Mus musculus: one gene and its partners. The protein of the gene in region 7 interacts with the protein of the main gene of each other region in a pairwise test. Links are inferred from orthologs where the notes say so. Each region holds a gene or a part of one and is shown on either strand. Other genes may lie near its edges.

Region 1 (4,300 bases), on a different chromosome or scaffold from region 7:
GTGGTGTTTATATTACTTAACAAAGAGGTACTTTTGAATGTTAATAGTTCTGTGAAACTCTGCTCAAATAATAAAGTCTTAAGATTTCATGCTATGTAAAGGCTACAAAAAGTTGAAATGTGATTATATTTGCTCTTTAGATATTTGGGAAGCTGAGAGACTGCCATTCATATATTTAAAAAAGTGCTTCAGAATATACATGCAAATTTGGCAAATGGTGTTGGTTTTCCCTATGGTACTATGAATTTTTAAAAAGACGTTTTAACAAATCATAGGTTAATAGAAAATCTCTAGTTTTGTAGTTAATTTTCCTTAATAATAGAAATAAAGTTTAGATTAAGAAGTACATGGCAAAATAGTGAATTTTTCTTTAGCACTGAAGAGCAGTTACAAAGGGGTAGTTCCAACAGTACCTGGAGAATCGGTCTACGTGAATTCCTACCTAAGCTATTAAGGAATAATAACTAAAAGATGGTCATTTATCTCCTACAATGGCCTTTCAAATGCAACAGGAAAAAAGCCCAAGTAGAGGAAATTATGCCACAAATTTTGGTATTACATTGAAAATGATCAACATTTAATTGTTCCTCCTCTTACATTAATCACATATCTGTTTATTCCGGGGAAAGTGGACACTGGTCCCACCACCCCACGCACTATGTTTATGCATAATCAGCCCCAAAAGGTAGAGATAATAGCATAATTTAATTACAAATAAAGGGCCTACCTACACGTTGCCATTTGTAAGCAATTCTTTTGTATAGACACATAGATCAACAGGATTATGCACTTTAAAATGTGAGGTAACAAGGCATTTAAAAATAACCAAGGTTTACGGCTACTGCCCTGCTATCACTGACTGCATAAACACTGCAATTTAGCTGAAAATATATGGAACAGACGGGATATTTTTGCAACGGTTGAATAAGATATTATGATGCCAGAAATACAGCTGTCCCCAGGCAGTTAAGCGCTCTCCATTGAGTTTCTTTACTGTTGCTTTTGAGTAGGAGATTGCTTGGTACTGTAGGTCACTGGTTAGGGTAAAGGACCTCACTGAAAAATTCATGCACACTTTGCTAACGTGGGAGAAAAAATAGTGGTATTTTGGAACTGTTAATTGGAAGAAGGGGCATAAAAACATGCTTTTTTTTTTTTTTTTCTTTTTTTAATAAAAAGGTCTTGCCTGGCTCTTGCCGATTTAATGTAACAAACCCGCGGATAGTAAAAGGTATATAACTTGACAAGCTGGTGCTGCCGTCTTGTCCTTCACCGCCTTTTCTGCATGATCAAACCTTAAATTGTTTTACGGACAGCCCCCAGCCGTAGATCCGTGTCTTCCTGGGTTTTCTAGGCTCCTTTACCACTACCTGAAGAGATGGAAGTCAGCCAGTCCTAGCACGAGATCCCTGCTCCGCCCCAGCTGCCCTCTTCCAACATGGCGCCCCAGGAGGCGGGTCCCACATGTCGGCTCCCCGGGTTCCGGCGCCATCGCGTTTTGGTTCCGGAGTAACAGCGGTCTAACGGCCGCCTTCCTCCTCCTCTCGCCGCCACCTCCGCTGCCGGGACGCGGGCCTCAGTCGGACGATCCTGCACGCGCCGCGCCCTCCGGTTCCGGCTGCGGTCCGGGACCCGCCCCTTGACCCCGCGGCCCTGGGCCCCCCTGCCTGGTTGGAGGGCAGGCGCCACCGGTGCACCTCCGAAACAGCCCCGACCCAGCCCGCGGCGCCCGGCCACCGTCCCCTTGCCCACCGAGACACTCAGGACGGCAGGACCCTGGCCACTGTACCTGCCTTAAACCAGGCCGTTGCTCCGCTGTCTCCTCTTACTCACAAGGACTACAGAATGCTTGTGGGTTCTGTTTTGTCCACTTTTGTAACTCCAGGACCTTCCGCTCTCTACTAATTCCTCTTGGCCGGTCCCCCAACAGTGCATCCTCTCCTAGGGACACTCCACACGACCTGGGCCTGGTTTTGGGCCTGCAAGCTCCCTCCTGATCGCTCCTCTTCACTTCTCCCCATCTTCTTGCTCCCTATTTATCGCCTGCCTTCTGTCTATCGTTCCCCTTGTCACTTCTTGGGGCTCCTCCTAAGTAGGGGCAGGTCGGTACCCCTCGCCCCAGGATGTGAGACCCTTTAACCTGTAATGCTGTGGCTGGCCCTTGGCCCCTTCTGTGCCATGGAGAACCAGGTGCTGGTGATTCGGATCAAGATTCCAAATAGTGGCGCGGTGGACTGGACCGTGCACTCCGGGCCGCAGTTACTCTTCAGGGATGTTCTGGTGAGTGGTGACTTTAGTGGCCAAATCCCAGCGTTGGGGATTATGGATCTGGATAGGCAGCATCTTGACCATTGGTGGCCTGAGCTGGCCTCTGGTGGGGTCAACTTACCTGTTTTAACCACAGTCTCGGTTAATTGCACTCACTGAAAACTGGTAAATGTGCAGCGCCCTGGGAAATTGATGTATCCGACTGAACCCCTGCCCTCAGGAAGCTCACAGTCTGGACTGTGACTTACACACCAGTGCAGACAACTGGGATGTAAAGAGTTTTAAAACTGTTTCTTATATTTTTCTCAAGTATTTGGAAAGGATTCCTGCCCTCATTCTAGCCCTGTCACTGCTGAGTTTCCTGAACTTGTGACCTGCTGGGAAAGGGACACCAGGGCAATCTTAGTTTACAATGGTTAAGCAAACCTTAGATGCCACTGAATGGGAGACCTAGACTTAACTATCAATATGGAAAGGATGCTGCCTGTTAGAACTACAGCACATCATTCCGTGACAAACACAGCTCAATTTCAGAGATGTTGAGTGTTCAGGGAAAATTTACATCTTAGAATCAACAGTGCATTGCCTTGGGATGCTTAGAATATATTTCACACAAAATTATGAAGGTTAATGTAGGCTGGCCCTTGAGTCCATATATAATATATACTATAAAACATTATGTATGTGTGTGTTTGTCCTGAATAGAGAGTAAAAGGACCTTCCGAGGACTTGCTCCTGAGGTTGAGAGTCAGTGCCAAAACTATAGCTTCCTTACTTAGTATATGAGTATATGTGTGTGCAGATGTGTGTGCGTGCATGTGGAGATCAGAGATCAGCCTCAGATGTGCTCAGGTGCCATCCACCTTGTTGTTTTGGGATAGGGTTGGCTGGCCAGCAAGCCCTGGGCATTCGCCTGTTTCAGCATTCCCAATGTTAAGATTACAAGCACTCATGCCACCAAGCCTGGGCCACCTGTCAAGCACCCACTTCCTAGGTTTTTTGTTTATTTGTTTGTTTTTGTTTATTTTTTATTTTTATTTTTTAACATGGGTCTAGAGATTAGTCTCAGGCCCTCATGTTTGCATAGGAAACACTTTGCCAGCTGAGCCATCTCCCTGGCCCCCAAATTTACTTTTGTTTCCTGTAGTGTCCCCATATACTTCAGTCCACGTGCATCTTTCTAGTCAGTTGACATTAACAGGGTGACATATATGTATGTCCACAGTAACTCAGCAGGAGAATTTGGTGTACGGGGAAGAATGTTTTAACAGGCAGATGTGCCGTCTGACTTACAGGGACTATAAGAGAACACTGAGTGGTGTCATTTACTGCCTTGGGTTGATAAAAAATGAAATGGTGGTATCTATAATTTCATTTTGAAAGCTAGATGCTCGTACCACCAAGGCCATGCTTGGGTCTAAGCCAAGCATGTGGCACCTTAGGTGAGCTAGCAGCCTCCAGTCTTTGACCCCGAATGGCATCCCTTCTCTGCAGCTGGTGCTCTTCACAATATGCACAGTGCTAGTCTCCTTTCCTCATAAGGCCCCACAGTCCTCCTTGCTGTCCTCAGGCTCATCTTGATTATCCTGGCACCTATGTCCTCTCTTGCCACATCTTCTTGAGCATCCTGTGTCCCAGGTGTACAGAGCTACTGTCAGTACTCCCAGGTACCCAGGCTGTGCCTCCACTTTGCCTTCTTTGTCTGGCTCTCACCCACCCTTCCCTGCCATGCCTCACTCTCCCTGTGTCAGTGTTTGCCAGGTGGCTGCCATGGTAGTCCTATGTCCATCCCTGTGGCAAAGCATGCATTCAGGATGATGTGCTTGTCTATTCTAGAATGTAAACATCTGGAGGAGAGAAAGAGCTCTGTTTCTGTTGCGTCATAGCATCTGAGACTTGAGGAGGGGCCAATGGGTGCTTGCTGTGTGAGCCTGAACTTGGGTACAGTCCGTGGAACCTATGGTAGAACCAACTCCTGAATGCTGTCTTCTGATTTCCACACACATGGCCATGGCATGTATGCATCCGTGTT
Region 2 (3,500 bases), on a different chromosome or scaffold from region 7:
GTTCTGTGACCTTTCCACTATCTCTGTCCAGACACAGGGAAGGGGGCCAGCCTTCCATCTGCCTGCTGGAATTTAATGGCAGGTTCTGCAAGATCTTGTTTGAGTCACGGGGCCAGACAATGATAATCCCCTGTGCTTCCCTCTGATTGTGTGTCTACATCGTGTCTTGTTCCTGGGAGCTGAGCAGAGGGCTCCTGTCTCCTGGCCTGTGACTTGTGAGGGTAGCCTGGCAGAGTTGGGAACTGTGACACTGTGACGTGGGTCGTGGAAGGTGGAGACAGGGAACTGGTCCTTGATTTTACATGTGTAGCATCCCTTGAGTCATCTCTCTCCCCTCGTTATTTCTGTCAGATTATGAAGATTGGGATTTTTTCCCCTCCAGTTCTGGAGACACTCTTGCAAACACTTAGTACTAAGCTACAGCCCCTCTTTAAGGAGGGCAACAAAATTTCTTTTTGAAATGTGGTTTCATGTAACCCAGGCTGGCTTTGAGTCTCCTATGTAGCTGAGGATAACTTTGAACTCTGATCCTCCTACCTGAAATCCCCAAGTGCTAAGATTTGCAGGCATGTGTCAGTATGCCTAGTTATGTGGTGCTAGAGACTGGATTCAGAGAATTGTACATGCCAGAAAAGTGCCCTACCAATTGAGCTACTCCACAGCCTGAGACTTTTAAGAGAGTGTTTGGTGAGCATATGTAAAGGACCTTGTTCTCTGGTCGTCTCCTTACATGTACCTGGTTCAGGATGAACTTGGGACCTCAGTGTCATATTTTCTATATAGGAAGACGTAATGCCTGCTCCCTTTTCTACAGAACCCCCTACTCTTCCATATCCACACCTTGGTGTGTGTGTGCGCGCACAAAGCTTGGATGCTGACAGGGGTGGGCTGTCCAAGAGACCTTCACTCTTTGCTTCCTTCTCTGCCCTAAGCAAGTAGCTGACTTCCTGGGAGTCCTGTCTTAGCTCACATTCTACACCCCCGTGTGACTTGGGTCTGGCCTTTGTGATAATGATACCTTAGTAGAAAAGGAAACCAGAGATAGACAGAGTGGGCTGGCAGCCCTGTGCCAGGCTCCAGTCATAGGTGTCACCCTGAGAGTTTTCCAGTTTAGTGATTCTCATGCTTCCACACATGCCAAAACTCTTCCCCGGGGGTGGGGGTGGGGGGCAGATTTCTTATTTCCACTTCAGATTCTAGGCTCTAGTCCCTATCTGAACAGTCAGGTGTCTTGGCACATGCCTCCAGGGCTCAGTAGCCTTCAGCCTGGCCACTCCCTAACCCCTGAGGCCCTTAACTAGAGCACAGCCACGCTCCAGCTTGCTTCTCCCTAGCCGGCTTTTCCGGTTAGAGAATGGAGGTGGTGCCCAGAGCACCCCTGTAGGGGGGCACACCCCGGAAGTCTTGAGCCTGGGGATACCCTGGTGGCAAGGTGGAGGTGAGAACCCAGCTAGAATAAAGGAGTACCAGAACGAATGTCACAGGCTTCCTCCTTCAGAGGTGGGCAGCCAAAGGAGGAGACTGGAGGACAGCTGCCCTGTAGTTTTTTTACTCTCACAGAGTTCTGAAGAGGGCAGGCAGTGAAAGATAAACCTGTGCTTTGGAGGAGGGGAAACGCTGTGAGACTGGGAAAGAGGTGAGTTCCGAAGGAAGCAACAAGACCCCGGCTAAGAGGGGAAGGGAACATACAACGATGCATAGATTCTAGAAAGTTCTGGCCAGGCTGAGAGTGCGTAGGCTTCTGAGCTATGTCTGGCCTCTCGGGGTTTCCACCAGGCACACCCTTGCTCTCACTGTTTGGTGTCTCAACCCCTCTTGTCTTCTGACTCCCATAGGCAGGATGATCCCAGTGGCGGAGTTCAAGCAGTTCACAGAGCAGCAGCCTGCATTCAAGGTGCTCAAACCCTGGTGGGATGTTCTGGCTGAGTACCTCACCGTGGCTATGCTCATGATCGGGGTATTCGGGTGCACCCTCCAGGTGAGGAACAAAACAAACCCGGGCAGGGCCACACACATTGGCAGTTCCTATGACTAGAGTTTTAGGACACACCTTCTTGACAATGAGTGGGATGTGGCAAGGCAGGGCCATGTTATGGCAATAAACTCTGTAGGTGAAAGAGCAGACAGGGGAGGGGGTACACGGGATCTGGCTCTCATTGTGGCCATATTCCTGACCATGCTAATGACTGGGGCCTTGAGCTGCTCTTTCCAGGTTAGGGGTGAGGCTGGGGATGTGAAGGTGTGACACATCTTGGCAACTCTCCTCATGAGTGTCTTTTTAAAAACACACATTTTGGCCGGGCGTGGTGGCACACGCCTTTAATCCCAGCACTTGGGAGGCAGAGGCAGGTGGATTTCTGAGTTCGAGGCCAGCCTGATCTACAGAGTGAGTTCCAGGACAGCCAGAGCTACACAGAGAAACCCTGTCTCGAAAAATCAAAAAAAAAAAAAAAAAAAAACCCACACAAACTTTTTCTTTTATGTGTATGAGTGTTGACCTGCATGTATGTATGTGTACATGCAAGGTACATGTATGCTTGGCACCTGTGGAGGTCAGAAAGAAAGGTTAGCTTTCCTGGAACTATAGATGCTTGTAAACCACCATGTGGGTGCTCAGAACCAAACCTGGGTCCTCTGCAAAAGCAACAAGTATTCTTAACCAATCTCTAGCCCCTTCAGTCATGAAGGAACTGGGCCTCACCATGGCTGCGTTCCAGGTGAAGGGCAGGACCATAAAGGGACGTGGTCTTAACATGACAATGCTCATGCCTGGGGTAGGGGGGTCTTCAACTGTGCTATGCATATGGGTAAGACCCCTCCATGATGATGAGACAGGGAAATGTGTTCAGCTGGGCTCTCTAGGTAAAAGAGCAGATCTCTAAAGGAGTAGGCCTTTTGCTTGAAGTCCTGAAGCCTCCCAAGTCTCCTAAGAAGAGGGAGAAAGAGCCTGGGCATGGTGGTGAGTGCTCTGTAGACAGAGGCCTGAGGATCACAAATCTGAAGCCTAGGCATCTTAGCAAGACTCAAAGTTAAAATTAAGGCCAGGTGTGGCAGTGCACACCTGCGTTCCCAGGATATAGAGAAAATGAATCAGGATCCTGGGTTCCAGGTCAATTGGCCTATACAGTGAGACCATCTCTAAAATAAAATAAATAACATAGGAAAGAAGAAAAAGTATCAGTATTAGAGTACTTGTCCAGCTTACATGAGGTCCCAGGTTCAATAAAAATCATCAATAAAATAAGAGAAACAGACAAGAGGAAGGCAGTGCCAAAGCCTCCACACAGACCAAGTCTAGTCCCCTACCTTCTCTCCTCCATCCCCACAAGCAGTGGTCAAAGTCTAAAATAATATTAGAGTGTTTCCATACACATTTACTTTTTCCTTTTTTGTGGCTTCCAGTGTTAAACAGGATTCTACTGCAGGGCCAAACTGCTAGCCCCTCACGGGGGGATTCTAGGTAGGGGCTCTACCACTGAGCAACACCCTAGCCCCTCTGG
Region 3 (4,244 bases), on a different chromosome or scaffold from region 7:
CAGAAGACAGTCGAGGTTAGCATACACCTGAAATCCAGGACACTGGACACGCCCAGTAGTGAAGCTGCTCACTGTGAATGCCAGCTGAGGAAACCCTGCTCTGGATTCAAGGGTTGGGCAGGGGAATGATTGCTTGTTGGTTGAGACAGGGTCTCAATACATAACTTAGGCTGGTCCCAAAGTTGCAGCTCTGCCTCAGCTTCCCAAGTGCTGGGATTACAGGCTTGCACCACCATGCCCCCCACTACATCCAAGTCTTGTTCAGTCCCTTCCTCCTTTCAGCCTGTGCCTTCTTGGCCTCCAGGGTTGCCTTGAAAGGACAGATGCCAGAAAATGGAGAGAGGATGGGACCAAGGACAGGAAGGATAGGCCTTTTCTGAGCAGGAAGATGGACTTTTAGGTAGGTTTATGGTTAAAAACATGAAATACCGCTCAGTTGGGGAAGATGGAAGGGCTCTGTGACTGGGTTTTGGTGACAAGATGCAACATTGAGAATGTACTAATGCCACTGAATTGTATGTACCCTTCAAAATTGCTTGTTTTTTTATGTATATTTTACCACAATAAAAACAAACAAAAACCACAAGAATACAAAGCTGTTCTTTAATAAGTGCTGTAAGCATTTTGCAGTTTTCTAGGGAAGAAAAGAAATAAGCTACTGGAGAATGGGGCAGCGGGCTGGCATGTGAACAAGACTGCCCCAGTCTGCTGAGGGGCCTTCTCAGGCCTTTGTTCCAGGGTTCATCAAGACAGTCAGCTCCAGCGCTCAACCCATAAGGGAGTATCCCTTCTCTCCCACCTCCGGGACCACAGAGGTCTCTTGTCACTCAGTGTGCTAGGTAAGAGTTCAGGAGACCTTGTTTTAGTCCGGCCTCTGCAGCGGGCCTATTGTGTGCCTCGGAGCAAAGCCGTTCTTTTCTGGGCCTGTTTCCTGCACAGTACATAAGGTAGGACTCAGAAGTTTTCCAAACCTCTTCCTATCTGCCCACTGCAAAATTCTCTTCCTGTAGCGACATGTCAAGTTTATCCTGTCTAATCCTAGCAAGAATTTCTAGAGATCTCCGTGGTCTGCCCCAGCAGTGGCACCGAACTCTACAGCGCCATGCCAGGAAGGCCTTTGTCCTTCCAGGGTGCCAGTAATTTACCCTCACAGGGTGTCACGTTATCAGCGCAGAGACAGCAACCTGCTCGGGCGTGCCCCGCCGCAGTTTAGAGTCCCGCTCCACCTGGCGGTCTGGGGACACATTCCTGGGAGGGAAACCTCGGGCGTAGGAGAGAAGGGCGAAGTCCGACCATGGATCAGCGGAGAGTATCCGCCCGTGATGACGTGAACTGCAAGCTATCTCGCTTGCAAGTTCCGTAAACGCCCGGGAAGGGAGCTCCTGGGGGCGGGACCAGCACTGAAGCCCCACCCAGAGCTGACGTCGCGGGCGGAGGCGGAGCTAAGCGCGCAGCATCTGGGTACTGGCTGACCGCTCGGCGCCATGGCCGCGGACACGCGCGCCAAGGCCGTCACTCTGGACCTGAGACGTCGGCTGCTCAGGTACCGGGTGTGGGCTCCGAAAGCGCGTATAGCGCCCACCCCGAGTCCCTGATTTCCCCGCCTCCCTCAGCCTACTAGAAGCGGCCGTGAACCACCCCGCGACTCCGGGGCGTCCCCTGTCCCGTGGAGCGAGCTTTGCCCCTGGCAGCCACCTGCATAAGGAGCTGGGCCTGGCCTGGGGGGCAGTCATGTCACGGGCAGGGTTACAGGAAGTCTGCTCTTGGCCTGTGAGGAGTATCCTCGGTGCCACGTGGAGAGAAGCTTATGGTTGGAACTTAGGACTGGAGCTAGCCATTACTAACGGGGACAGCAAGGCCACTGGGTTGGCAAGGAATGTTAGGGGCTGAGATGCAGCTCCTAACAAGGGGGTTTTCTTCAGGAAGCCATTCCGAAGCCCTTTTCACTGGGACTGGAGGAGTCTCAGTGTGCAAGCAAAACTGAGAGGGCCACAAAGGCTTAGTTTTGTCTCAGAAACTTTCTGCTCCGTCCTGTTCACAGGAATGGGGAGGCAGGGAAGTTCCACCGTGCCCTGCAAGCTTTTGTCCATCCCAGAATCAGGAAGGAGTGAAGGGGGCTGTAATGAGTGGAGGTCAGTCTTCAGACAGGGTTGTCGATCCTTTGCCTGTCCCCACAGCTCTTCCTGCAGACTCTTTTTTCCTGAGGATCCTGTTAAGATTATCCGAGGCCAAGGGCAGTACCTGTACGATGAGCAAGGGCGAGAGTACCTGGACTGTATCAACAACGTGGCTCATGGTCAGTATGACGCCTCTCACCCTTGGTGAGACAGGGGAGGAGGCTGAGGCCATAGATCTGACTGATAGCCTGGGTTGAACAGAACTGAATCGGATGCTCAGGGGGGCACCCCAGTCTTTGTGAAAAGACTCCACACCATAGCTGTGCTAAACCAGGCAGGCCTGAGAGGTTCACATGCCAAGGTCCAAGCTGCACGTCCCACGTGGAACTCACATCAAACCAGGCATATATACAGTCCACCCATCCATGACCACAAATGTAGTGTGCTCATCTTGGCCTCGTGCAGGGTGCTGACAGCAGGCCTTCACCTCTATTGACTACTATAGGGGTAATAGGAAACTTTAGTATGAATTCAGCCAACTGGGCTACCACAGCTGTTAGAAGGCACATTGCAGGCAGGTAAGGGTTAAAACCCAGGACTCTCCCAGCACTCAGGGCACAGAGGCAGGGGGGTCTCCTGAGTTAACAGCCAGCCTGGCCTACGCCTACATAGCAAGTTTCAGGGACAACTAGGGCTTCACAGAGAGACCCTGTCTCAGGAGAAATGACTTAATCCTGGGCCTTTTTGGTAAACTCACTGCCCGGTGTTGTAGGTAATTGTGTTAATTATTGCTACCTTGCTTTGACCATGTTGGCACGTGAGCTCTAAGAATGCAGATGCCATGGCTGACCCTCTGACAGTGCCCCTCCAGCTGAGTCTCAAAATACCTCTCTAAAAACCTTTGTTTTCTAGATAGCATTTCTGACCCTCTTTTCCTTCTGCTGGACTCTCTTCTGGGCTCCCCCGCCCCATCATTAACTCCCCTCTTTCCACTTTGCCTTCGTTAACTTCGTCTCCCCTGGATGGGTTTGCAGATAGAGCGGAGGGGGCATCTGGTGGGGCTGGCTGGGTGACGTCGGCCACTTGATGCAGATGCCCCTCTTGCAGTTGGGCACTGCCACCCTACCGTGGTCCAAGCCGCACATGAACAGAACCTAGTGCTCAACACCAACAGCCGCTACCTGCATGACAACATCGTGGACTATGCCCAGAGGCTGTCGGAGACCCTGCCGGAGCAGCTCTCTGTGTTTTACTTCTTGAATTCTGGGTAAGTGAACAGCAGACAACATGCTGTTGAGAACAAGTTCAGAAAAGAGAATCATCCCTGTGGGTGCAGTGCAGAGAGCTTGGGAGCGTGGAGCCAACTTCATGGCGAGGCTCCTGGGCTTCTAGGTTGTAGATCCTAGAGCTCTTTCTGTTGGCTCCCATTTCTTCCTTTGTAGAGGACACCACCGCCTCCCTTCTAGGCACATTGGGACTTAGTGAAGTAATGGGTTTATTTATTCCTTGTGGATTCAGCCCTCAGGTGGCTCAGCAAGCTTACAGGACACCAAGTAATTCTTCAGAGAAATGTAAGATTACAGAGAACATCTAGTGGTTCCTCAGAGAAATATAAAAGTATGGCAGTGTCCTTTTCCGAAGCAAGAATACTAAATAATGAAGCCTAGAAGCAAGCAGCAGGGGACCTGACTTGACTGTGCCTCTGTGTAGATGCTAAGAGCTCCTGGGGAGGTAGCTAGGGGAGATGGAAGGAAGGAAGGGTGCTGTCACTTTGGGGAAAGTCTGCTTGTCCAGGTTGGTCACCACCTGGCACAGCCTGGGCAAAGGCCCTGTGGCATGAAGGGGCAAGGAATGTTGTCAAACCAAACAAAAGAGGAAAGAGTGAGCAGGTCCTGGGAAAGGGTCCAGGGCTACAGTCAAATGGAAGGAGCTGTTTTTATCTTCAGGCCACTAGAGGCCAGGCAGTGCTGGCAGACATTTTTAATCTCAGCAGAAGCAGGTGGGTCTCTGTTGAGTTCAAAGTCAGCCTGGTCTACAGAGGGAGTTTCAGGACACATAAAGAAACCCTGTCTCAGGAAACAAAAACAATGAAACACTAGAAAGCTCCTGGTTGGTTTTGTTTCTCCC
Region 4 (4,133 bases), on a different chromosome or scaffold from region 7:
GCTTTGAGGATACTTAGTAATTTTCGAAACCCTGGAAAGAGAACATTAAGGCCTCTAACTTGAGCCCATTCAATCAACTCCCTTCTTCCTGCTCAGTTCCAGCACATTGCCACAGACTCACCTAATGAATAAAATCATTTAACTGGAAAAACAAACAAATCCCCTTGCTTCAAGCAAGTGTCTGAGAGAGGGAGGCACTGTCTAAAGACTGACATTCTCTTAGTCTGTCCACCCTACAGCCTGTCCTGACAGGATGACCAGAATGTCTTCAGCGTCGTCTGAAAGGCCCAAATCCCACGCAGATTTTACATACACCTTCTGTCTTAGGCAGGATTTCCATTCCTGCACAACCAAGAAGCAAGTTGGGGAGGAAAGGGTTTATTCAGCTCACACTTCCACATTGCTATTCATCACTGAATGAAGTCAGGACTGGAACTCAAGCAGGTCAGAAAGCAGGAGCTGATGCAGAGGCCATGGAGGGATGTTCTTTACTGGTTTGCTCAGCTTGCTCTCTTATAGAACCAAGACTACCAGCCCAGAGATGGCCCCACCCACAATGGGCCCTTCCCCCTTGATCACTAATTGAGAAAATGCCTTACAGTTGGATCTCATGGAGGCATTTCCCCAACTGAAGCTCCTTTCTCGGTGATAACTCCAGTCTGTGTCAAGTTGACACATAAAACCAGCCAGTACACCTTCATTCTTTTGGGACATCAGCTCCATGCAGTTTTCACCACGATCTTTGCAATTTTGTTTCTCTTTTGAAAATCCTTGAGACAACTCCCTTGGAAACAGAAGGGTAATTCTTTCTTCTGGAGGGATGCGAGGGAGCTGTGCCTTACTGAAATTCCTGTCTTGGGATCACAAAGAACTAGATACTGTGTATCAGGGAAGGACAACATAGTTCTCAGGATTTTCCGCTGAGCTATGCAGTCTGGCTTTTCTAGACCTACTGCGGTGGGCAGCTGGCAGGGCGTGTCCAACACACCTTCCAACTCTGGCACCTCAGATCTCCTAATTACTACATTTCTCCAAACCTCTTTTAGTACAAAATCCTCTCTCAGAATAGAAAATAGGAATCTCGTGTGAGGACATTTTTCATGAAAAAATAAAATCACACACACACAAGATAACCCCAATTCCTCATACAGTACCCACCCATTCCTAACTTCTTTTTGCAGCGTGGACAACAATAGAGAACTACAACTCCCAAAAAAGACTGCGCTCGCCACTGGCTCAGAAACCAATGGCCGCCTGGCACGTGATCGGTTGGTCTAATCAGCGACTGGTTGGGTAGGCTTTGTCTAAGACCCGGGGCGCCCGCCTATCTCCCGCCCCCGGCCGCGCGAACGCGAGCCCCGCCCTGCGCGCCTTCCCTCCTGCGCTCGCCGGCCTCTTCTGCCTCTTAGAACCTTCCTGCGGTCGTGCTTGCATCTCGCTGCTGCAGCCTCCCGGGCTCCGGTCCATCCTTTCAGTCTGAGACCGGCCCAGAAGAAAAAAACCCCAAAAACCTTAATTTTCTTTCTTGTTCGGTACCTACATTGGAACCATCAAAAACAATTATTTCAGTAAACCGTAGCCATGAGGGAAATCGTGCACATCCAGGCCGGACAGTGTGGCAACCAGATCGGTGCTAAGGTAAGGACTTTAAAATTTTAGCTGAAATATGTAAAGATGAGAATTCTGTGTTAATTGTGAGCATTGTTCACGGAGTTCTTGCATTCTCCACCCGTCAGATTTGGCCCCTCAAAGTTTTTCACGTATAAATATAACCCATATTTGTAGCTAGCGTTCTGATATTGAAAAATGAGGAAATGTTTTTCTTGGCACATTTTCGGAAAGCTAATAAAAGAGCCTTTCGAGTTTAGGGAAAAGGAGAGGCTGAGGGACTGTGAAGAGCTGGTCTTAAAAGGGGTTTTCTAACGGTTCGAGGACTGGAGGGATGCGGAAACGATCCGAGACAAAGCCGAGGCGAGGTTTTCCCCTTGCGCCACCCCCACCCAGCCTGGAGGGCTCTACTGGAACAGAATGGAGGGGGGAAGGGGCGAGGTTTGGCGGGCAGCTGCAGAGGTGCCCGGTGCGCATTACCTCTCAACAAAGGCTTGGACACTCCATCGAACCCGCCATCCCAATGCTTTTTTTAGGTAATGACTCTGTATAGGGGCCTACTTTTACTTTTCATTGCCCTTTAGGGTGTGAGCGGTATGAAAGTGAGCTTTTCAAATATGTGAGACTGTCTGGGAGACTAAGGAGAGGGAAGGAAGGGAATAAAGATAGGCAATGGGGCTTTTTAAAGATTTTTCCCCCTTTTTTGCTAGCAATTAACAATGTAGCGGGGGAGGGGAGGGAGGAAGTGCGGCCGCTAAATTGTAGCCGAAGGGTGGGACCCTTTGGGGGCGGGGTTGGAGCCCCTGGCGCGCAGGGACAATGCGGCCCCTACCCGCGGGGGCGCACTGGCCCCGCCCCTCGAGCTAGGCCCCGCCCGCGCTGCTCCCGCCTTTGTGGTTTGCTGGAGGAGCGGCCCGCCACCGCAGTCACGTGGAGCACGTAAGGGGTGGGCGACTGCAGTGGCCGCACCTTTCTCCCCCAACTCTTTTGTGCTGGCCTGGAAGGGCGGTTCCTGGCTTCAGGAGCCAACCTGGGTGCAAAGCCAAATAGGTGGGCTCCAATCCGCCCACATAGAGGTTTATAGCGCCTGACCCACCCATCACCGGTCCTATGCCGAAAGGTTTTAGCCTTCCATCGCGTAGGTTCCTCCATGGGACTTCCGCAAGCAGATAACGGAATTGCAGTGTCTTCACCTCAGCCTCGTTTCAGCGTGTCTGGAATTGAAATGAGGGGCGGGAGGCATGCCTTAGGACTTGAGACATTGAGGCCTCGTTGCTCTTCCCTGTGCAGTTCTGGGAGGTGATAAGCGATGAACATGGCATCGACCCCACCGGTACCTACCACGGTGACAGCGACCTGCAGCTGGACCGAATCTCTGTGTACTATAATGAAGCCACAGGTGAGGGCAGAAATCCCCACTTAACATTTATTCCCTGTCCCCTGTATTGGACAGTGAGCCCAGATGAATGCATCACTGGCTGCCCTGGAACTCCCATAGATCGTCTACCTCTCAAGTGCTGGGTTTAAGGAGAGCATCACCACGCCCTGTTTTTCCACACTTCTAAGTATCTATTACCCCTCTGCATGGTTCCCATTTTTTTTTCCCTAGACTCACACCCTAAGGGACTAAAGATTAGCTCTACTGCCACCAGGTGGTAGTGCCTGGAATGACAACTTTAGTGCTTTGTGGCTGATCTCCCACCCAGAGGTAATGCATTGCTGATCCGTCAAACATTGACTTGAATTCCTGCAGGTGGCAAGTATGTCCCTCGAGCTATCTTGGTGGATCTAGAACCTGGGACTATGGACTCCGTTCGCTCAGGTCCTTTTGGCCAGATCTTCAGACCAGACAACTTCGTTTTCGGTGAGTTAGGTGGAATCGATTTCTATTTGCTCAACTGAATTATTCCAGTCGTTGAAAGATTAAGAAGTATTTGTGTTTCTCTCATATCTTAGTGATTAAACCTTTTCCCTTACTGCATTCCAGGTCAGTCTGGGGCAGGCAACAACTGGGCTAAAGGCCACTACACAGAGGGAGCTGAGTTGGTTGACTCTGTCTTGGATGTGGTGCGGAAGGAGGCGGAGAGCTGTGATTGCCTGCAAGGCTTTCAGCTGACCCACTCACTGGGTGGAGGCACTGGCTCTGGCATGGGCACCCTGCTCATCAGCAAGATCCGGGAAGAATATCCTGACCGTATCATGAATACCTTCAGTGTGGTGCCCTCGCCCAAAGTGTCTGATACCGTGGTCGAGCCCTACAATGCCACCCTGTCTGTCCATCAGTTGGTTGAGAACACGGATGAGACCTACTGCATCGACAACGAGGCCCTCTACGACATCTGCTTCCGTACCCTCAAGCTCACCACGCCAACCTACGGAGACCTGAACCATCTCGTCTCGGCCACCATGAGCGGCGTCACCACCTGCCTCCGTTTCCCGGGCCAGCTTAATGCTGACCTTCGAAAGCTGGCTGTCAACATGGTGCCATTCCCACGTCTCCACTTCTTCATGCCTGGCTTTGCCCC
Region 5 (2,313 bases), on a different chromosome or scaffold from region 7:
CCGTGGGGGATATAACTAGCACTTCTAAATCGGCTGCATCTCAGATTTACCTGTTGAATTTGTGCACCCAGATTGGGAGCTAGTGGAGCCCACAGGAATTGAAAAAGTTTGAATAGTTGACTTGTAGGTCACGTAGCTTCTGAACCCGAGAAAAGGATAGCTTGCTTTGTCTAGCTGCCACTTGTTTTCTGTCAGCAGTCATCTGTTCTCTTCTTCCACAGGAAAATGTTGGAACTCTTCAAAAAGCACAAGAAGATTCCCAGGTAAGTTGAGGGCCTCAGCTGGTACAGGCTTGAGTTAGTCACATGGGCTTTGACTCTTGGGTGCGTGGTTGGAATTTCTTCACATGCCTAAACCCTCCAGTTAGGCAGGCAAGCAGTTTCTCTCCTGCCATTCAGGGCATTGTAAGCCATCCTTTTCTCTATTCAGTGATCATTTTGAGAAGGGGGTGGGGTGGGGGGGTGGAATATAGAATGTTATCCTCTATCTTTTGTCCAAAGTTAATGAGAATTTGATTAATATATTCTGAATCTCGTCTATAAATATTTGACTAAAAGTTATTAAGTTTGGTACACTGGAGAAATGGCTCACCTTGCTGCTTTTCCTAAGGTTTAGTTCTCAGCACCCACATGGAGGCTCACAACCGTTTCTAACTCCAATTCCAGGGGGTCAGCACTGGCCTCTGTGGACATATGGTACACCTACGTACATGAAGACTCTTGGATATATAAGTCTGCAGTAGAAAAGTGCATTGGGTACAGTTCAGTTTTGCCTTCTTTTATACAGAAATGAATTGCTGGAGGAATTCATGGACACAGCGAAAGCATCCGGTAGCACTGCTCTGGCCATTGAGGTTGTAAAGCTGGCAAGTGCCTTCAGCTTGCCTATTGGGGAGAGCCTTGCCCAAAGAGTAGTGATGGATTTCACAGTTGACCCAGAACAAAAGTAAGTCTATCTCCTCTTCTGGTGCTTATAGCATTCTCTCCTGCTTCCCTTACAAAGCCAGGGTTTGGTGGGTGATGTAATGCCTGTTTGCTCTGTTACAGGCTTCATCATAAACATTTGGTTTTTGGAATTTTTTCTTTGTTCTCATAATAGTTCAGTGCAGTTTGGGGGATCCTTTTTCTGCTTTGAAAACTGCTATGACTGTGTATAATCAAAGATGCCAAACACCCTGACCCTGTGAGCTGAAGTGTGGTATCATTTCTCTTCCTTACAGAGAAGCCCTGGGTAACCTCACTGAACTGAACAGTAGCGATGGAGAAAGCAGCAGTGACAGTGACAGTGACGACAAATGAGAGAGAGAGGTGGCTCACAATAGCTGCTGGAATGTTAGAAGTGGTAAAAATAAACAGATACAGGGCTGGGATCCAATATAAGCTCTGTATTGTATTGTACTGGCCTAAACCTAAGACCCTGGGGTTCATCTGCAGTACCGCTAAGATGCACATCTGGCCAGTTTTTTGCCAAGACAGCAACAAGCATTGTGAAGTCTGACTTTTGGAGAAGAACAAATTCCACATAAACACACTGTTTGCAGGCCTCATTCCTACTACGCCCATCATGTTAGAACCCACAGGCCCTTGCTGCCTACCTGCTCTGTGATGTGTGGTCCTTTGGCCTAGAGACAAGGATTCAAACTGGTTTTCATGGAGATGGGTTATTACTGTTGAGTTGATCGTATCCCGTTTTGAGAGTACTTAAAAAGATGGATGCTCTTAGAACTAATTAAATCAGAAGCAAGCTACTGGTTTAGGCTGCCCAGATGGTAAAGTCATTAAATAAAGCAATTGTGTTATTTTTAAAAATCTAATTCTTTGTAAGCGTGTACATATTCACATGGATGCCAGAGAACAATGGTTATTTCTTCAGACAGGCCTTGAGACTGCAGGTTCAGTTAGACTGGTTGGCCAGCTCTGGGAATCCACCTAAGTTTCATACATACACAGTTTGTCATCTTCTAACTAGAATACTCAAAAATTTTAGGGACGATTTGTACAGCTCTTGGAATAGAATACCCAAGAATGTTTAGGGGATAGGAGTGGTACAGCTCTTGCCTAAGATGATGAGGTCATCCATTTCCACCCCACTGCCACAAAACATTTTGGTCTGTGTGGGCACTTTATAAGTAAGTATTCAAAGAGATCTGGAGGGCTAGTAATGACAAAAGGATATGAAATGTCGTAACAGTATGTTGCCACTGAGCAACTTGGTGTGCTTCTTGTAAATGATACTAATGGAAAGGAGTTACAAATTTGCGGTTTGCAGGGTTCACCAGCCCATGCACTCACTCCTCCCAGGTTTTGCACTGAG
Region 6 (3,500 bases), on a different chromosome or scaffold from region 7:
CTTAGTTTTAAAATTTAAAAAAAAAAGATTTTCATTGAAGAGCTCAGTTCACAAAGCCGGTTATGCCAACATCTGTTTAAGTGGAATAAACTAATACCTTATAAAGGCATTTAAATAAAGTAATTTAATTCATCTAGCATATATTTTAGTATCTGTTGATAGCAGATAACTGCACCAGGCATGTAGGAATATCAATTGGAAACTGAAGTGCCAGCCTCCATGTTGCATCTATTTTAGTGGGATAAGACAGATGATAACTAGATTTACTGATTATATATAATATAAACTATCTACTCTAGTCTCTGGTCATGGTAGCACAGACCTTTAATTCCATTACTCAGGAGGCAAAGGCAGAGGCAGGTGGATCTGTATGAGTTCAAAGCTAGCCTGATCTACATAGTGAGTTCTAAAACAAGTAGGGCTACATAGAGACCCTGTTTCAAAAAACAACAACAAAAAAAAAGATACTGTAGTCGATGATGAAAAATGGTCCTGGGATTATAAACTATAAAGGAGACAGTAAGACCTAGTATGGAGACACACACACCGATAACCCCAGCACTCAGCAGCATTGCATGTTTGAGGCCTGCTCTGTGAGGTGAGTTCCAGACCAGCCAGCGCTCCCTACTGAGATTTCTATCGGAAGAAACTAAAAACTGAAAATACATAGATAAAAGAAGGGAGGTAATAATGAGGTAGACTGTAAACTTAATGAGTGTTTCCTTAACCTTTGAGGACTGCCACATACTTTTTTGGTACCACTCTTGAGTCTATAGAGCCTGAGTTCTTTTTGACCTGCGTTCTTGTGACTGGAGTTTATGTGGCTTTCAAAGTAAATAATTTTTGTAACTGATCCTTGGAAGTACGTGTTAGTCTGAAGAGAGCTTTCAATTCGGAAGCCCCTCTGGCATATAGGAAAGCTTGTGTTAATGTTCCTAGTAGAGAATTCAGAGCAATACTTAGTGATACAAACCTCTATTCAAAGTCATCTTACCATCCTCTGGTTCAGAGTATTTGCCCAGGAGTGCAAAGGTTATAAAATGGCAGAACTCAAAATTTAAACTTATGTGTCTGATTTAAAGCCAGTCCCTTCATACCACGTGTGGAATGTCTTTTGGTTGAGAAACATGCATAGCCTAAACTGCCAGAGTGAAGGGAACATGGCTCAGAGGCAAGCACTGACCAGCATGTGGGAGGTACTGTTCTCTTAGTACCCCAGAGGGAACGAAATGGGAAGACACAAAAATACAAGTGGAAATGTATGGTGGAAAAAGCCAGGAGAGACTTAGGCCCACTGAGTGTCCTTCACCAGTTAGAAAGTCACCCTGGCACCAGCTGTTACCTATTAAGCAGTTCTGACGTCACACCCCTTCCTTTCTGAACTACAGAAGGCTGAATTATGATTGGGATATAGATAAGTCTTGTATGGGCAGTTTTATTTTATATTAAATAATATTAAAGCCAACTGGGGTATGATTTTTTTTGTTGTTGTTGTTTTGTTTTTTTCAAGACAGGGTTTCTCTGTATAGCTCTTGCTGTCCTGGAACTCAGTCTGTAACAGGCTGGCCTCGAACTCAGAAATCCACCTGCCTCTGCCTCCCAAGCACCGGGATTAAAGGCGTGCGCCACCACTGCCCAGCCAACTGGGGTATGTTAAGATCCAGGGTTCTTGGGTTTCTTCTTTTCCCCTGGTCATATGGAGGACTCAAACCTGGGACCTTGAGCATGCTAGTCAGGTGCTCTACCGCTGAGCTGTGCTCCCAGCCAGGTGTGGTTTACTTTTAATTCCTTAAACCAAGTAAACAAAACGCTTGTATTCTTCTTGTATGTCTTATGGCTTGGAAATGATTTCTTTATGTAAACAGTTGGTGTTTGCCTCGTGATACATTGGAATTTATTTTCTAATTTTGACTACTATAAGGAAAACTTTAAATGCGTTTGAAGTTAACTTATAGACTCTTGGATGCCCTGTCTTGTTTTGGTAATACTAAGAAGTCTTCTATGTGGTAGTTGTTTGCAATAACCACCATCATTTCTTAGAATGTTTTGTTTCGTGGCAGCTGTTGTCCTTCGGGGAGAAGCAGTGTGTGCTTGTCAGTAAGGTGGTGGTGCACTTGAGGCCACGGTCTGCAGATCCTTCACCGCGCTCTGCTGCTCTGGGATCACGGATAGACCTTGACAACATCCAAACCATAATGGAGTCCATGGGGTCCAGGTTATCGCCTGGAGCGCAGCAGCTCATGAGCATGATTAGGTTTCAGCAGCAGGCAAGTAGAGATATATTTTACTACACTTTAAAATGCCATTTTGGGGAGATGGTTCAGTGAGTAACCCTGAGGTGGGATTCCCAGAGCCTGGGTAAACGGAGGCGGTATTAGTAAACATGTCTGTAATCCCTGTTTCCCTACAAAAGGATGGGAGGTAAAGGGGTGAGATTCCCTGAAGTTCACCACCCACTTGATAGGGTGCATACCTTGTCCCGAAGAATGGAAGGTGAGAACTTGAGGCAATTCTCTGACTTTAGCTCTCCCCTGCTCCCAAACCGCGCGCATACACACACACACACACACACACACACACACACACACATACACACACACACACAAACCCCAAAAGCCAAACAATTTTTTAAATGATGGCTTTAATATGGTAATATGGAATATTCATATTTTTTTATTAATTTCTACTACTGACTTAACTGTCATCCATTCTTAATTTTTGTAAAAGTTGCATTTTGTAGACTTGCCCTTCTACAAAATGTTCTGACTGAATCTTCAGTTCTTCCTCAGATCATTGTAGGCGCTCATTCAGTAGTGAACAAGACTCTGGCTTGCTCCCCTTTGAGGGTATAAAGGTGATCAGTTAGAGTGTAGCCTATAAGCATTCTATGTGGCAAATGATGAGATTAAGAAAGGTATATTGGCCAGACTTTAATCTTAGCACTTGGGAAGCAGCGGCAGGTAGGCCTCTTGATTTTGAGGCCAGTCTGGTCTACAGAATGAATTCAGGACAGCCAGGGCTACACAGAACTGCCAAGAAAAAAACCAAGGTCACATTTCATTTGGGTAATGGAAGAGGAAGGTGGGTGAGTCATGGCCACCTAGAGGCTGGTTATTTTAGAGAGACTCTAGTAATGGGTATGATCCTCTGTGCTGGAAGGAGTCAGATCCAGCTCAGAACGAAAGGGAATGAGTAGACAGGAGAGATTTGAAGATTTGTGCTGGATCATAGAGAGCTTTGATGCTATTTTAAGTGTGTAAATGCTTTTGGCATGTTTTAAATTTTAAACCACTATTATATGGAAAGTAAGTCAAAAGAAAGCAAGACTACAACCGAGAGACCAGCTGTATGTGACTTCCCACCCATGAGAGGTGATGTGGTTTACAGTAGGTGCCGTAACGTAACGTGTGTGACGTAACGTGTGTGCCGTAACGTGTGTGACGCTGGGTCATGCGATTGCTGGGCCAGGAAGCGCAGAGTCGTTGAGACTAGACAGTTAA
Region 7 (3,500 bases):
CTGAACATCAACGGCATTGACCTGACCAACCTAAGTCACAGCGAGGCTGTGGCCATGCTGAAAGCCAGCGCTGCGTCTCCGGCCGTCATCCTCAAGGCCCTGGAAGTGCAGATCGCCGAGGAAGCAGCCCAGGCCACCGAGGAGCAGCCGAGCGCCTTCAGTGAGAACGAGTACGACGCCAGCTGGTCCCCGTCCTGGGTCATGTGGCTCGGGCTGCCAAGGTACCAAGAGCTCTCTCGGTCTGATGTCTCAGAGTGAGCGTGTTTTAACTTTTATCAGTTACACGGTTAACTCACCCAGTGCGTAGAGAGGGCGTTAGTTAGGTAAAGTGCACCAAATTATAAAAGCAAAAAAGTGTATCTTCTTGTAAAACGAAGACAATTCCCTTTAAGGAGGGATTTTTGTTTGTTGTTGTTTTGGGGGTTTTGTTTTGTTTAGTGTTTTTGAGGGGGGGCGGCACTGCGTCTCCCCCTTGTACATGGGCTGAGAGTCCAGGCACACACCACCACACCTGGCTTTTCTGTTTGGGCTCTGGGAATCCAGACTCAGGGCCTCACACTTGTACAGGAGAGTTTCTGGGGCAGGGTCTCACTCTGTAGCCTAGGCTAGCCAAGAGCTTAGAATCATTTTGTAAAAAGGTAGTTAGAACTGAGTCTGTACTGAACAAAGGAGACGTGACCAGCAAGCTGCTCTCTGGCTGGCCGGTAGGGACCAGGGAAACGTTGGAACCTCCCTGGCACCCTGGGGTGCTTGCCTTTCTCCAGATGGTTGCTGCTGGTGCTGAGATAGGAAGAGCGTGTGTTACTGTGCTTATTTGTGTCTAAAGTAATTTAGATTCTCATTATCTATAAAAAGCATGGTGAAGCATGTTTGACTATTAGCCAAGTACGAAGCTGCTGGTTCCTAAATAAAAATAAACCAGAACGCTGCACCACTTTCTGAGTCATCTGCCTCATGTGGGGTAAGGTAGTGTACAGCCAGGAGCGCTTCCCGCACGCTGTGCGCTCCGTGAAGAACTCTCTCATGAGGAACAGCAGGTACCTCCGAGGGGTTGCGTTCATTCGCTCCTGCCCCAGCTCTCTGGCTGGCTCCCGGGAGCTCTTGGTGGTTTTGTTTCTTGGTTTTCAATCCCAAGGCCTAGAAGTGATGTCTCGCAGACGTGGCAGGACCTTGTGGAGTGGGATTGATGATGGGAAAGTGACCTTCTTGTGTCCTGCATGTTTATCAGGGCATCAGCCCTGGGAGTCAGAGGCTGCAGAGATGGCTCTGTGGATCTGAGCACTTGGCGTTCTTGCAAGGGCCCCTGGTATGGTTCCTGGCACCCCCATGACGGCTCCCAACTGTCTGCAGTTTCAGAGGCTCCCACACCCTCTTCTGTCCCCGCTGGCACTGCACATACATGGTGCACATATACATACATGTAGGAAACAGACATTCACATAGAATGGATCCTTTTTGAAAACCGGGCGCAAATGATTACTATCCCACTGCTGCAAGAGCTACTGTCTAAACCAGGGAACTCAGGAGTCTTGTTCAGCTGATACCTGGGTAGTCAGGTTCATCCCAGAGTGGCTGGGAGACAAGGATGGAACCCGAAGACACAGGCAGGTGGATCTCTGTTATTTTGAGGCCAGCCTGGTCCACATAGTGAGATACAGGATAGCCAGGGCTGTCTCAACGACAAAACAAAACAACAATAAAGAGGTTAGAAGCTGTTTGCCCGGACAATGGGGGATCGGTCAGAATAGCAACCTCCTAGGAAATCCCGGGACCCTGGTGCTGCCTTTAGCTGGCTCTGTGCCAGCCTGGTTTGGGGGCTGCATGTTCTCACTGTTGTGCATTGCATTTTATGGCACGCCAGGCATAGCAAGAAAGGATTTGTGTCATCTGTGTGTGCGTGTGTGTGTGTGTTTGTATGTATCTGTGTGTTTGTATCTGTTTGCATCAGTGTGTGTGGTGTGAGGGTGTGTGTGTGTGTGTGTGTGTGTCCCCGTCCACGAGTGAGTGTGTGTGTGTGTGTGTGTGTGTGTGTGTGTGTGTGTGTGTGTGTGTGTAGGCTGAAGATCAACATCCGCTGTCTTCCTTGATGGCTCTACACCTTTGCTTGTTGAGGCAGCATCTCTCACTGAACCGTTTGGCTAGGCTGGTAGCCAGTGAGCTTTTGGGGTCTGCCTAGCGCTGCTGCCCCCGCCCCGTGCCCAGCACTGTGGTTACAGATGTAAGTTGCCCCATGTCCGGCTTTTTTTATGTGGGTCCTGTAGCTTACCAGGCAAGAACTTTAGCAACTGAGCCAGCCCCTCCCCTCAGCTCAGAAAGGGTTTTAGACAAGTTGTCACAAGTTGACAGTATAGTGAGATACATTTTTGAGCTTGCCTGAATGGATGCCTATACATATAGGCTATTGTGTGGCCTGAGTTCCCCTGCACTGCCCTGCTACACCGGATGCTGGCCTGCTTGCTGTAAAGGATGCAGAGCTATGAAGGTGACTGTACTGTGCCTGAGGATCTGGGCCAGGGGTGAGACTTCCGGCTTGCCAGAGCCTCTTTAGAAGTCCCTACCCCTGAGCTAAGGGTTGTGGCACCATGCTGGAGGTTGTTTGTCATTTGTAGCAGATTAGAAACCAGATAGCCTTGTCTCTGATATTTGTATTAGTTCCGGTGGGGACAAACAAATCACAAGCAACATGAGGAGGAGGAGGAGGAAGGCTTGTTTCACATGTTGAGGCTGTGGCCATCAAGGCAGAGAGGGAGGGCTGGCTCTGAGGATGGAGCCTGAGGCAACTGCTAGTCACCGGCATCCTGAGGCAGATGGTCACATGACATCCTGAGGCAGCAGAGATGACAGCTGGTGCTCAGCACACCTCCTCTTTGTCCCTTTTTATTCAGTGTGGGACTCTGGGGTGGTGGTATCCACACTCAGGGTGCATCTTCCCAAAGGTGAGTCTCCCAGGTAATTCCCAACCCAGTCAGGTTGATGATGAAGATCACTGCATACCCGATTTCACTTCCCAGTGAGGACTTTTTTTTTTTTTTTTTTTTTTTTTTTTTTTGGTTTTTCGAGACAGGGTTTCTCTGTATAGCCCTGGCTGTCCTGGAACTCACTTTGTAGACCAGGCTGGCCTCGAACTCAGAAATCCACCTGCCTCTGCCTCCCAAGTGCTGGGATTAAAGGTGTGCGCCTCCACGCCCGGCTCCCAGTGAGGACTTTTATTAAAAGGATTTCACTTTGTTTGTTTTTAAGATCTTACTTGCTGCTTATTCCCAGGTTCATAGACCGCTGGACATATAAGTGTAGTGTGCCCCCTCCCTCCCTGGCTAGCATCCTCCAAGCCATGAGTAGGCAGCACTTTGCCTGTAGCATCTCTGTGCTCATGGAGAACAATGTGTTTGTTGGTGTTCTCCAGGCCGAGCTGCCGTTAGAGTCTCCCAGAAAGGTGTGAGTCCTTGTGAGTCCAGGGGAAGGGACAATATCAGCCCCTCCTCTAAATTAAAGCACCACCC

What was found.
Region 1: the proteins of Lnx2 (region 7) and Map2k5 interact in binary tests that used the Homo sapiens proteins (3 or more experiments, as listed by UniProt). The link is inferred for Mus musculus from reciprocal best matches to the Homo sapiens genes LNX2 and MAP2K5.
Region 2: the proteins of Lnx2 (region 7) and Lrrc8e interact in a two-hybrid assay, tested with the Homo sapiens proteins (3 studies listed by BioGRID and IntAct). The link is inferred for Mus musculus from reciprocal best matches to the Homo sapiens genes LNX2 and LRRC8E.
Region 3: the proteins of Lnx2 (region 7) and Phykpl interact in binary tests that used the Homo sapiens proteins (3 or more experiments, as listed by UniProt). The link is inferred for Mus musculus from reciprocal best matches to the Homo sapiens genes LNX2 and PHYKPL.
Region 4: the proteins of Lnx2 (region 7) and Tubb5 interact in a two-hybrid assay, tested with the Homo sapiens proteins (3 studies listed by BioGRID and IntAct). The link is inferred for Mus musculus from reciprocal best matches to the Homo sapiens genes LNX2 and TUBB.
Region 5: the proteins of Lnx2 (region 7) and Ptcd3 interact in binary tests that used the Homo sapiens proteins (3 or more experiments, as listed by UniProt). The link is inferred for Mus musculus from reciprocal best matches to the Homo sapiens genes LNX2 and PTCD3.
Region 6: the proteins of Lnx2 (region 7) and 2310057M21Rik interact in binary tests that used the Homo sapiens proteins (3 or more experiments, as listed by UniProt). The link is inferred for Mus musculus from reciprocal best matches to the Homo sapiens genes LNX2 and C10orf88.

The regions. Positions count from the first base shown.
Region 1 is NC_000075.6:63,375,103-63,379,402, reverse strand, and holds the start of Map2k5 (dual specificity mitogen-activated protein kinase kinase 5), read left to right. Parts: upstream 1-1,500; 5' UTR 1,501-2,145; coding exon 2,146-2,280; intron 2,281-4,300. UniProt on the Homo sapiens protein: Acts as a scaffold for the formation of a ternary MAP3K2/MAP3K3-MAP3K5-MAPK7 signaling complex.
Region 2 is NC_000074.6:4,229,827-4,233,326, forward strand, and holds part of Lrrc8e (volume-regulated anion channel subunit LRRC8E), read left to right. Parts: intron 1-1,180; exon of another isoform or gene 1,181-1,636; intron 1,637-1,835; 5' UTR 1,836-1,840; coding exon 1,841-1,978; intron 1,979-3,500. UniProt on the Homo sapiens protein: Non-essential component of the volume-regulated anion channel (VRAC, also named VSOAC channel), an anion channel required to maintain a constant cell volume in response to extracellular or intracellular osmotic changes.
Region 3 is NC_000077.6:51,583,337-51,587,580, forward strand, and holds the start of Phykpl (5-phosphohydroxy-L-lysine phospho-lyase), read left to right. Parts: upstream 1-1,444; 5' UTR 1,445-1,484; coding exon 1,485-1,543; intron 1,544-2,177; coding exon 2,178-2,296; intron 2,297-3,209; coding exon of another isoform or gene 3,210-3,224; coding exon 3,225-3,384; intron 3,385-4,244.
Region 4 is NC_000083.6:35,835,502-35,839,634, reverse strand, and holds the start of Tubb5 (tubulin beta-5 chain), read left to right. Parts: upstream 1-1,333; 5' UTR 1,334-1,581; coding exon 1,582-1,638; intron 1,639-2,898; coding exon 2,899-3,007; intron 3,008-3,361; coding exon 3,362-3,472; intron 3,473-3,595; coding exon 3,596-4,133. UniProt on the Homo sapiens protein: Tubulin is the major constituent of microtubules, a cylinder consisting of laterally associated linear protofilaments composed of alpha- and beta-tubulin heterodimers.
Region 5 is NC_000072.6:71,880,138-71,882,450, reverse strand, and holds the end of Ptcd3 (pentatricopeptide repeat domain-containing protein 3, mitochondrial isoform 1 precursor), read left to right. Parts: intron 1-221; coding exon 222-263; intron 264-786; coding exon 787-945; intron 946-1,219; coding exon 1,220-1,298; 3' UTR 1,299-1,813; downstream 1,814-2,313. UniProt on the Homo sapiens protein: Mitochondrial RNA-binding protein that has a role in mitochondrial translation.
Region 6 is NC_000073.6:131,356,227-131,359,726, reverse strand, and holds part of 2310057M21Rik (ATPase PAAT), read left to right. Parts: intron 1-2,060; coding exon 2,061-2,267; intron 2,268-3,500. UniProt on the Homo sapiens protein: ATPase that regulates mitochondrial ABC transporters ABCB7, ABCB8/MITOSUR and ABCB10. Regulates mitochondrial ferric concentration and heme biosynthesis and plays a role in the maintenance of mitochondrial homeostasis and cell survival.
Region 7 is NC_000071.6:147,021,073-147,024,572, reverse strand, and holds part of Lnx2 (ligand of Numb protein X 2), read left to right. Parts: coding exon 1-221; intron 222-3,500.